Drosophila melanogaster: one gene and its partner. The protein of the gene in region 1 purifies or fractionates together with the protein of each later gene. This does not show direct contact. Each region holds a gene or a part of one and is shown in the gene's direction. Other genes may lie near its edges.

Region 1 (6,648 bases):
GCCGGAATGCTAGAGTGTGTGGCCCACATTTCGCTGATGACTCCGATTAGAAGAGTCGTAATGGCAGGGATATCTTTATGACATCTGCGGAAATGCTAAGCTAGCAAGCTAGCAGGATGTCTATGTCCATTTCCCATTCGCCAGGACTTCCGGCCATCCTGGCTCCACCTGAATTCGCATTTCACTTTATCAGCTCCTCACTTCTTGGTGCCTCCGGCAGATGGACAGTTGGGCGTTCGAGTGGGTGGTGTGCTTATCTCACGACACCGCAGCTGTCATTCAACTTAACTTTTGCTTTGACTGCACTGCGGGTGGCAGACGCCGGCATACCGATGCCAACTTCCCTGCGCCTCGACTTAACGCTCCGAAAATAAATAAAAAGCACTTCATTTCTTATTAAAAAATCGCTGGAAACTGCCCAATAAAATGTAGCGAAGGCGGCGAGCGCTCTAAGTCAGCCCAGATTAGACGGGAGAAATTCAAAATCAAAATCAATCCATTAACAAAAGCACACAAAGGACCAAGTCCTTGGACCGTGCGGCATTAACTTGTGATTTCAACTGCGCGAGTTCCCAACGCCGGCGATGACTTTGCATCGCAGCGTCCGCTAATTATCCCATGGCAAGTGGGCCGGCAGGACGGGGGAGGGCGAGGGGGAAGGCGGTCCAGGACAAAAGGCGTCTCGGCAACAAAGCCGTTGCGCTTCATTAAAACGGCAAGGACACGCGAAAAGTGAGTGCCTGAGCGGCGCTGCGCATCCCTGCTCATTATCCCATGCACTTATCCGTGGCAACCGAATTTAAATATCTGGCCCACAATCGTTTCCAATCGAGAGCAGTTTGAGAAACCCCATGAGGGAGGGGAGGGGTTCGGGGTCGTATCCTGACGAGCTTATCAGTCGCGGCATTACGCTGACTTCTGCATTCTCCTTGGATGTCTTTGTTGGCCGCTGCTCCTGAACTACACCCAACCCCCGGAGCGGGGCATCAACTTATAGCTATTTGTATCGTCGCTAACCATTTAAAATCGTTTGCGTTTAATACCCTCAGATTCTTTGGATGCTTGTATTCAATTGGAATATCAAATCTTCAAAATAAAAAGGTTTTTGTCCAAGACACAAGTTTATATAAATGGTATTAATAGAGTTTTGATTACTAACTTACCAGGTTTTTCGAAGCAAAATTACTGTTCCATACTTTTTGATACGTTTGAGGATCTCTTAATGTTGTTCTAAATTTGGAAATTAAATTTTCCATCAAAGAGTACATTAAATTCGTGTTTTGCTCTTAGCTATTTCTGAGATTCGAATGTTTCCTGTTGCCTTAGCGCTTTTCACCGTAATCAAGCCACAAATATGTTGCTGTCAACACGTCAGTGGTGGAAGTCCTGCTTTTTTATTTGCTCCCTGGGAATGAAAGTGGCAATGGGAATGGGAATGGGAACGGGAACGGGAATGGGTTCGTCTTACTTTTCATTTCGCACTGCATCTTTATCGCGCTGTCGTCTGAGGCGTCGTTTCTGTTTTGCTCACGCTTCATTACAATAAATCCGGTTACGGGTGTCTGCAGGACCCAACTGCACAGAATCCTCCGAAGGGAATGGGTAATTTTAATGCCCTATCAGCGGCTGCCGGAGACGAAAAAGGAGTCGTCTGGCTGTTGTCCCGGATTCTCCATCTGAACGGTTGCACTTCGCCGGGTGACAAGTTTATTCAGTCTTAAACGACTCCATTTGTTGCCATCTCATAAGACTCACGGTTGATTTGTTGACATATGCTGGAAAAGTACTTAGCAAATTTTAAAAATCAATTTAAAGTAAAAGCAAGTAAAAGGATACAAACACGCTATTCAATAGTTTAGCTCAAAGTTAATAAAATCGTTAGTAAGTAACCATTTCGATGGCAACACTAGACCAGAACATGATTTGCTACCAGAATACTCGCGAATTCCGTTAAAATCGGTAAAAATTCAGGTGACACTTACGGTTTGAATACCCGCTAAAGAGTTCTTGCATTTTCCGACAACCGTAACCCAGACAATCGATCCGGGAATGCTCACTATTCGCACACGTTGCCACACTGTTGAATTGCTCCAAGCAAACGGCTTTCTTATCAGCGGCTTATCTTATCAGTCGGAAACCCGTTGAACGATGCCAGCGACCAGCAGGTGAGTAATTTTCCTCGGCCTGGCAGTATTAGACCTGCAGTTGCGCGGAAAACTTCTTGAAAACGCCAAAAAAAATTGCACTGGAATTCCGAAAATATTTAACCACAAAGTGAAAAATGCTGAGGGCGTGGCTGCATCGGAGTGGCAGTTAAATTCTAAAATCGGATATTAAAGTTCTCCGTCAGTTTCGTGTGTTTTTTTTTGGCTTTTTATCCCGGTTTTCTGGCTTTTCTGTTTGGGTGCTCTAGTTTTGTGGTAGATAAGATAAGCGAAGTGCAGCGCGCAGGGGAAATACGAGCCATAATAAATCAACAGGTGAATAAGAACGGCCTAGTTGTGACGTCACTAACGCCTTGAAATCGTCGCAATTTTAAATTGCGTTTAAGCAAAAGCAAAAAGCAAGTGAAAAAACGTTGATAAGGGTCTAATGAAAATGCATGCGCAATAAAACGGAAGCACACCACCAGTAACAACCATCTATATTGCAGAGATGAGGATCGTTTTGGAGCTTGCACTTCTGGTCTTGGGGGTCATCTCCTCATGCCGGGCAGTCAACTGTCCTTGGCCCTGTCGTTGCACGTGGGTGGTGGACAGCTTGTACGCAGATTGTTCCAGGAGGAGTCTGCAGACATATCCGAACTTCGACGGCATTCCCGTGGAGCATTTGGATCTGTCGGGAAATAAGTTCTTGGAGTTTCCAACCCTATATGCGGACATAGACTCCTTGATATACTTGGATTTGTCCAGCAATTATATCTCAAGCATTGGTGCAAAGACTCTGATTGGATTCACATCTCTGAGGACTCTGCTGCTGGCCAACAACTCCATAGATTCCTGGGAGTCACTCAGTCCCAATGAGGCATTCAAATATGCTCCAAGCCTGAAGCGTTTGGGTCTCGATGGCAATCGATTGGGCAGTTTTGGCAACGGAGAGAGCTTCGAACTGCTGACCAGTTCATCCCTGACCGATTTGGGGCTTTCTTCCTGCGGAATTTCCAGCATCGGTGGAGATCAGATGGTTAATCAGCTGCCAAATCTGGAACGTCTTAATCTGGCCAACAATCAATTGGCTCAAATAGCGGCATTACCTTCGCGAACCCTGAGGGTTCTCGATCTGAGTAACTGCAGCATTAAGAATTTGTCCGGATTCTTTTTGGACGCCATGCAAAATCTGGAGGCCCTAAACTTGTCCCGGAATACGGAACTCCAGTTTGACAGCCTGTCAGAAGATCCCATTCTGACCTATATGCTGCGAAAGTTGGATGTTTCCTATTGCAACTTGGATTCTATAGAACTGAGTGGATTGCCACAACTCACTGAGGTGCGATTGCAGGGAAATCTTCTGAGAGTAGTGGATGTCAATACATTTGCCAACAACTCCATGCTGGAGGTGGTTGATCTTTCACAGAATGTGTTGCGACACATTGGCCAAGATGCCTTTGCCAAGTTGAAGCGCCTAAAGGAGCTGAACTTGGCTTTCAATGAAATAGCCAGACTGGACAGAAATTTCATACGCAACAATGACGTGCTGGTTGAGCTCAATCTCAGTAGAAATGTGCTGCAGAAGTTGACGAAAATCGTGTCCAATTCGGTGCGCACCATAAACATGAGTTGGTGTGAAATCACCTCTATTGAAAGCACTGCACTCTCGAGTCTTTCGGTCATTCAAAAGTTGGACTTATCCAACAATCTTATCACTGATATGCCCACCTTTATGAGATCGGAAACCCTACAGCAACTAAACCTAGCCAACTGCAGGTGAGCATTAAGCAAATAACAGTCGACTAGTATAATAGTGGGTAATGATATTATTTCTTCAGGCTGACTACTGTAAGGAACAACACCTTCAGAGAGTTCCCCGAACTGGCGGATCTACATCTGAATGGCAACCGTTTAACGAGTCCCATTCCGCCCAATTATTTCGACGGCAATAAGTTCTTGGATCAGCTGTGGTTGGGCGATAATCCCTGGATTTGTGACTGCCACAGTCCGCTCTTCGTTGATTTCTACGACTATCTAACAGCAAAGCCAGCTAAGGTTCGCATCTTTCCTAAGCGAATGGATTACAAATAATGACTTTCATTTCACTTCTATAGATAAAAGATAGAAATCACTTGCGTTGCGCTGCGCCAGCCGTTTTCTATGGAAAGCTTTGGGAGTTTGCCTGTGCGGATGTGTGGATTTTGAATGCCAGGACGAGCAGTACTGGCGAGAAGGCTTGGTCCATCATAATGCTGACTCTCCTCGGATTGGGTGCTCTGGTTTTGGGCTATGCCTGTCTGCAAAAGTATCTGAGAAAGCGAAAAGTCCGGCAGAGCGACAGGGAGTACGAGGAGAATGATGATGAGCTACGACGCATGTGAGTAGTATATCTTATTCCATAAAATAGAATTCTAATCAGCATTTTGATACATAGACGAGATCTCAACGAACGTATTTTGAGGGAGGAGGCTACGCCGAGCCTGCAACATACCCAGGAGATCAGCCTGCTGCCCTCCTACGAAGATGCCCTGCGCATGCCGAAACTAGTCAGGCCAGTGAAGTCAATGATGGATCTCTCGGGACCAGAAAGAGCCCGCAACTCACGGAAGCTCAGACGATCGCAGACCCATGCCGATGGTGATGGATCCCAGTCGGAGGCGGAGGACGGACTGCAACTGGACTCTCGCCAGCGATTCCGCAGCGTGGAGATGCTCTCGAACCGGGACAAGGAAAGAACCGCCCAATACGGACCGTACAGACGCACTGGTTACATGGAGTACAATCAGTCGGGCAGTCGACGCTTTAGCATCGAGGACTCCCGATTCCCCGCCGCCCACTTGAAGACCCAAAATCTTCAGAGTGCTGAACAGATCGGAAACTTCCAGAGTTATGAGAACAGTCCCTACACAAAGCGCAAGCCAAAGATCGCCGAGATTCCGCCCTTCAAGAGGGTGAATATGATGGCCGACAGCGTGGAGTTCCTCACTGATCCAGAGTATGACGAAGTGGGCAGCAAACACGGAAGCCCGTTTGCGAAAAGGAAGCCAAAGCCACCAGTTCTTCCACCTCCCACTATGAAAGTGAGTGCCCAGGTCTACACACTGCAGCAGAGTCCGGTTTTGGAACTGGATCCCGCCATCGAGGACTACTTCAGTGCGGCCAGGAAGCAGCCCTCTTCGTCCACCATTGCCAGCGACTTCCAGGAGCTGGATGAGCCCGAACTGAAGTCCTTGCCGGACGATAATCGATCAAGTACGATCTCCCGATCGGACGTGGAGCAGGATTTGGAGCGGGGAAAGCGCAAGAAGCGCAAGAATTCGACTAGTCGTCGGGTGAGCGGTAGCTTCACGGCAGCAAATGCCGCCGAAAGTTCCTCCAGCGACTCCGAGCTCAATGCCCTGGTTCACAAGCCCATGAGGGAGACATTGTTTTAGGCCACATAGCACATACCATATTGTTATACATTCCCAACATGTTAGACTTCGCATAATATTATTTAAAAGCACCTTGAAATACACAATAACATTTTCTTCAAAGTAAGTACTTACCAACAAAAAAAATTCATTTTTAGCCGTTTTGTGGGAAAGGTATTTTTTGCATACTCGAATTGGCACTGAAGGTCCTTCCTGACCAAGTTTTTCCCCAAAAAAAGGCGAAAATATCGATATTTTTTATCAAAATCCCAAATGTAGCGTCTCATTAAACTTACAATCACATTTATAATCAATTAGAATCCACCACTGACAATTTAATTTTTGTTTCGATTTTTGCCAAATTTTAATGAGTAACCCCTTATAAAAAATGTGAAAATTGGTAAAAAAACTGATGTTGGCAGATCGGGCCCAGAGTGATGGGGATCGTTAGGTAGGATCATTAGTTGCATAAAACTGTTATTTCTATGGGTGTGTGACACTTTTTGACCACGTTATGATAAATAACCTGATTTTCCACTCAAAAAAAAACATTATTTTAGCCAAAAATATAATTTTTTTGTCGAAAAAATTTCAATTTTTTTCGATTTTTGCCAAATTTTAATGATGTAACCCCTTATAAAAAAGGCGAAAATTGGTAAAAAACTGATGTTGGCAGATCGGGCCCAGAGTGATGGGGATCGTTAGGTATGATCATTAGTTGCATAAAACTGTAATTTCTATGGGTGTGTGACACTTTTTGACCAAGTTATGATTATAAACATTTTTGATAAAATCGATTTTTTGGCCTATTTTGTTATCATAATGATTTCATAACCATTTGTTAAACTAAAACCATTACTAATACAAACTAATGCTAATCGATTAGCATTCACGACGTAAAACTTAAATATTTATAAATTTAAAGCATAATGATGCATAATTTTGTATAACTGAAAATCTTGTAAAACAAGATTTAATGGCGAATTCCGGCCCGAAAATTTGAGTTTGAAAATATTTTGCACATTGAGTAAGAAATATTGACCTGAGTGAAAGCTCGATCACCCATAAATAAGCAACATAAACTTTTA
Region 2 (5,996 bases), on another chromosome or scaffold:
ACTATATCGCAACGGGTGTGAGCGAGTAGTGTTTGAGCGATCGACCATGAAGCCTTCATTATTGCATTTCATGATTTTGCGGTTCTTTATGCTCGTTCCTTTACACTAGGCGGCGACACAAACAGGGAAGCTTCTGCGGGAAAGCCGATGGGGCTGTGGGCGTGGCTGGGGCAGGACACTGGACGAGAAGCGTCTGCCATGTGCCATTTGCCATGTGTTTGGCCTGGCCGGGACTGGTGTCGACACTTTCACAACATCCACACTTCCACATCCTCATCGACAGCAACAAAGACATCGCAGTCAGGGCCAGGATATGGCATATGGCTTTGCCCCGCGTCCTGCATTCACTTCCATCTCGAGAATCGACTGAGCGGACTCGTGTCCGTGTCCCTCATTCAAATTTTCAATATTTTCCATGTGTGCTGCCGGTCGTTATCACGCATTTCCTGCCATTTGCAACCTCCACATCCACATCTACATCTACATCTGCATCTACATATCCATTGCCATTGGCATTGGATTGGTAACGGGAATTGCAGCCGCAAGACACTGGCTACGTGGCCAGCAACCGACTTGACCAATTTGCCGCCCCTGCGGTTCCGGGTTGAGCGCATTAGGCCGCACACTGGGCCGCTGGTCCTGGCTCCTCGCTGGGAATTTCCACTCCGCATAAATGCAAAACCGATCTTGAGGGCACCCCAAACCGAATCGAAGTACAATGGCATGTCAGTTGGGGCAGCATATGGGGCATATATGCCACGTATGACACGGGCTGAAGGTTAGGGGGTCAGCAGTTCAATCAGTGGCACGACGCAGGATACTTACCACACATGTGGACTCATTTCCATATGTGTGCGATACCACTTTCACAGATTAAAATATGATTAGAGTTGGGGTAAGGGTTAATAACCTTCTGAGGAAGAAATATATTTGCCTAACATTCCATTTAGACAAAAACAAACTTGAAATTAATTAATTATCTATCAAAATAGAATCAATTCTTCGGCACAAGACTGCGTATCTACCCATCTCCTTCTACATATCATAGCTTGAAAATTTCAAAGCTATCAATCACATTTGATTTTCAAGCTGACAAATTCCATCTCAAACATAGAATTATTCCTATATAATGCTGGTACAAATGGTAGTACAAACGAGTGCGCATTTCAAATATAGTATAGTATAGTTCTATCTATATATATATATAGATAGTATGTTCAACTATCAAGCTCTAAATTTAACATTTCCTTCAGCTTACATTTCGGAAAGCTTTATGTATAACAAAATGATATCAATCTAACTTTTAAAGTATGATACAACTGCCGAACTTTAGTTCAAGACAAGTAAGAATTTGTATAGCTACTCAATGAACCTTGAATTGAAATAGCCAATAATGCCTTAGGTGATCTCGATAACACTACTGAACATATACTGATTTCACAAACTCATCGCGCACGCCTTCGCAGTACCAATACCCTGCTGATGATCAGTGACAACTGGCTTCCTATCTGACTGACCCCGCCATAATCCTAGTGGCCATATCCGCTGGGGAGCAACAGCATCGCATTCGGCTGTTAATGCCACTGATTGCTAATAAATTGAAAACCATTTCAGCACAGACACGACCCGAAGGCAATAGGTGGCAGAGGATTTGCACTCGACGCCGGACACACCAGCCATCCTCGCATGGGGATCAGAAGCAGAGCAGAGGCAGAAGCAGGAGCAGGTGGACGGACGGGAATTCGAATCGAATCGCAATCGGAATCGGAGTCGAAGCCCCGTCAATGAATATGCAAAAACAAGGCAAACAGTGAATAAAATCAAAATAAAAACCCATTTATCAACACGCATGGCGTGGTCCAGGATGAGGACGCAGTCTATCCATCGCCGGCGTTGGAGGTGGACAAATGTGAGGCGATTGCTGGTGAAGCCGTTGGCCACGTGTTGGCCAAAAGGGAAAAGGTCACAAAAGCAGGTTAAGCTGCTTTTTTAAATAAAGCGCACAGCACGTTAATGCCCGCTGGCAGGACGAAAAGAGAATCCCGCCAGGACGCGGGGTCTCATCCATAATCCTGTGCCACTTACAGCCGGGCCACATGCGAACCACTCCGCTGGCGACCAACGACTGCGGACCACTGCTCCAGCCGGTTCCAGCCGAACGCCACCGACGTCAAACGATTGCCTGAGCCGAGCGGTCACGAGAGGACAACGAGGCTACTTCGGATACGGACTCGGCTAGCGCCGAGCTACCCGATTGGTGACGCCTTCGGCTTCGGCTGGCAATGCGGACAGTGGCGCCGTAATCCGTTCGCTGGATTTTTTGAATTAGTTGCGTGTGGTAGCTTGTTGACATCAGTACCGGGTACCGGATGCGGATGCGGATACGTGCGTGGCCCGCAAATCTCTCGCCAAATCTCGACAAGTCCTAACTTGACGCGACCCGCAGTTCATAGTTTAGAGTTCAGCTGTTCAGCGGCTGGTGTGTGACATCCCCAACTGACATCTTTTTTGTCATCACTCTGTTCTGTCCAGCTGTGTTTCGGTTTTTTTTTTTTTGTTTTATTGGTCCGGGAAATCACGTGTGTGTTGTTTTGAGTGCGAGGTGAGTGATTTCGTTGGTTTTTGTTTGGCTGGGGCCCCCGCAACAGTTGCCAGTTGCGCTTTAAACTACTCCTCAAACTGAGCCGCAAGCCGAACCATCCAAACCTCCAATCCAAACCAAAGCAAACCCAACCGAGCCCAAACCAAAACCAAACTAAGCCCGGCTGATAACTGGCTAAAACCTGACCTGCGGTCCTCGATTGCCTGCTGTTGGTGGAAGGTGGACGGTGGCGGATGGTCGATGTTGGAAGTTGGATGGTCAACGGTTGTCCGTTCAGCTAGTTTTGTGGTCGCTTTGACGTGGTCGCGGGCAATTTGAAAGCCAACACCGAAACGCCGATTACGATAAGTGCAGTCGAATTGAAAGGAGGCGGAGTGGAAATGGGATGGGAATGCGAATGCGAATGCGAATGGAAATAGGAATCATCATAATCATCAAGAGCAGCAGCAGTAGCAGGAGCAAGCAGGAGCAGACTGCAAACTGCAAAGTGCATATTCGCTTTCCGCCTGATGTTGTATTTCATTTTGCCATTCGCATTCGCATTTCGCTTTCTCATCCTTTGTCGTCCTTTTTAGTTTTAGTTGCCAGCAATTGCCGCTGCCAGTTTGCAATTAAAGACCAGCTCCATTCAAATGGCAAAAGTGAGGGGCTGAGGCGCTGAGGGACTAGCTGAAGGACTAACCGAGGGATAACCGAGGGATAACCGAGGGATAACCGAGGCATAACCAGAGGCAAAATATTAAATACTAAATGCCAGCTGCCAAGGGAAAGGCAGTTGCAGTTCAGCCCGCCTGTTGCCGTCGCCTGTCAGCATTTTGCTAAAGTCACTGTCCCACTCGCAGTCACAGTTGCCATCACCATCGCCATCACCATCGCCATCAGCATCAGCGCCAACACCAGCCCAGTCTCCCTCAGGTGTCCTGAGCGACCATCCAGCCACTTTGAGCGTGAACAGGTGAGTGACAATGTGAAAAGGGATCCTAAAGGGATGCTAGCCTGATCGCACAGGCTGATGCCATGTGGGAGGCCCATTCCCGAAAACAAACTGAGGCAAGAATAAAATAGAAATATAAGTGATCCTATGGGGTTTCCAAGCGATGTCATTTATAAAAATAAACCGACTTTCTTGGTACCTATAACTACTGTTACTATAAATTACGTTTATAAACACTATAAACACGTTTTTCCAAAAATGAGGTCGATTTTCTTTTACCTTTTCTTTAACTAGTATCCTAATTGGGTCAAAACTGAAAGTAATTATAATGCTCAGACGTTTTAAGCATGAATATTTAATTCGAGAAAAATGGCAGCCATCTGCTATAACAATTTTCAAAGCCAATAAAAGCTCATTAAAACTCTTCAAAGATTGTGCTACTTTAAACTGTCATTAGTAGTATAAAAATACATCATAAAAGTTTCAAATAATAAGTAAGGCCTATGGTATCGATCAATTTACTCTATTGTAAACAATTTGACAAATTTATAAAGTTTGTAGTCTTGGGATCAGCAGTGTGTTCCACTCATTATCTGTCGCCATTAACTGCGTCCTGTATACTGCTATCTATGGATGCTGTTGACTCGCACAAAAAGCCAGGATTGTCTGTTCCCTGAGGGAGTCACACTTTTGCCGCTTCGGGACATTTGTACACCTAATGCATAAAACAATGTATGTATGTTAATTTGCGCGAATACATAAATGTTGATATCTGGCTAAAAAAGAAATATACTCGGATAGTACGTTTCTAATTACTCTAAGCCTTATCCTGAAAATTGAGTTTGCTGGTAAGGATCCATCTCATATCTTGCCCTCCATAAATATTAGATCCATGATCATCGAATGTGAATATCTGTAAAAACCAAAAAAAAACCGCCTGCAGAGATGCCGATTCAACCAACCCCAGCCCTACTCAAAAAGCTCCATTTGGAAGATTTTTTCTTCCTCCTTTGACTCGGACTTCTCCTCGCTCTGTTGATCCTTATCCTTTTCTAGCAGGAAGATTGTCTCGCCAACGAACGGATTACTGCCTACCACTTCGACCTCATTCGAATTATCTTCGTCCTCGTCGCTCAGCATGAGCCGGTATGTAGGAAGCCCAAACTCTGAGGATTCTCCAAACATATCGTATTCCCTGGCCTCGTCGATGTCCTCGCCGTCGGACTCTACCTCTGAGCCCTCACTGTCGCCCTCACAGCAGAGGATCTCGTGGGCAAGCAGCGAAATAGTCTCTTCGCAGAAATTCTCCTGCTCCTCCTCCAAGTCGCTGTCTGATTCTGCCGACAGCAGACTGTACATGCTCGTCTGCGGACTGGTGTCGGGATCGGCCACTGTGCAGCTCTCATCTGGATCGGATGTGCGGTTCGCTATTAGTGGAAACACATTTTTCTAGATTGGTAATCACCTTCGCTATCGCTAGTATAGTCGTCGCTGGTTAGCTCACTCTCGCTAGTGGAAATATCCGAAACGTCCGCGTTTATGTTGATCTGGTCTCTGGAATTGGCAGGGTCGCTGGCCATGTTCGATTGTGTCTAATCCCGGCTCCTATATCTGTACGTCCATGTGCTGTATCTCTTAGTTTCAGACTGTCTGACTGTCTGACTGTCTGGCTGTCTCCTGGTGTGATGTGATTCTGATTCTAAACTTGTTTCCATGCGTGCTGGAAATGTTTTGCCCGGCAAATGCTACTGGGATTAGTTTTGGGTTTCGGGGCTTGGACTATAGATTCGAGATGGGTGCAGGAAGCGACACTGCCAGCACGTAATGTCCTGGGCGCTTCCTTCCAGGACGGCGAATTAAATTTTATGCCAACTGCAATGCCCTTAAAGGCGAAGGCAGAGAGAGAGAGAGAGAGAGGTCTTCGAAACGGAAAAGGCCACGGAGACAGGGCCAAGATGGAGCCGTAGTTGGAGACCGGGCTAACTGCGGCATCGTCACAGGCCGCAGGCCGCGCTCCACATGCACACTGGTTGCCGAAAGGACACAGGACTCCCATAGCCGCACACATACACACACATTCGTACGAGAACGCGTACATGAACTGGCTACCGCAGCAAAGTTACATTTGAAATTTTATTTCCATGGCCGGGGCTCAAATGCAACAAATAAAAACGAGCCACGGAGTTGCCTCTGACCCGGTTCCCGGGTTGTACTCCACTTCGCTCCGGAGTCGCTATCATTGTATCACTCTGATCTGGGCCAGGCGACACGCCTCCTCCGCCTTCTCGGGTATCCACACCTCCGTTGCAAGGACATCCGGCGTGGGACTCGACCATAGCGCACCAAGCAAGCCACTTGATAGGGCAGGCACAAATTGCCAGACAACGAACGGCCTTAATGCAATTGATATAAATTGATATAAATTATTATGAGAGTAATTACCATATCGATGGTGCGGGA

Evidence for each region. The genes of interacting proteins can lie anywhere in the genome.
Region 2: the proteins of CG5819 (region 1) and CG1504 purify together in Drosophila melanogaster (affinity purification with western blotting; one large-scale study listed by BioGRID). This does not show direct contact.

Annotation. Positions count from the first base shown.
Region 1 is NT_033778.4:22,291,272-22,297,919, forward strand, and holds CG5819 (uncharacterized protein), read left to right. Parts: upstream 1-2,128; 5' UTR 2,129-2,165; exon of another isoform or gene 2,166-2,653; 5' UTR 2,654-2,655; coding exon 2,656-3,923; intron 3,924-3,985; coding exon 3,986-4,202; intron 4,203-4,261; coding exon 4,262-4,524; intron 4,525-4,581; coding exon 4,582-5,581; 3' UTR 5,582-5,684; downstream 5,685-6,648.
Region 2 is NC_004354.4:20,326,724-20,332,719, reverse strand, and holds the start of CG1504 (uncharacterized protein), read left to right. Parts: upstream 1-2,347; 5' UTR 2,348-2,602; intron 2,603-3,177; exon of another isoform or gene 3,178-3,557; intron 3,558-4,039; exon of another isoform or gene 4,040-4,505; coding exon of another isoform or gene 4,506-4,942; intron 4,943-5,001; coding exon of another isoform or gene 5,002-5,116; exon of another isoform or gene 5,117-5,276; intron 5,277-5,996. Other genes in the region: CG1631 (uncharacterized protein), read right to left, coding at 4,506-4,942, 5,002-5,116.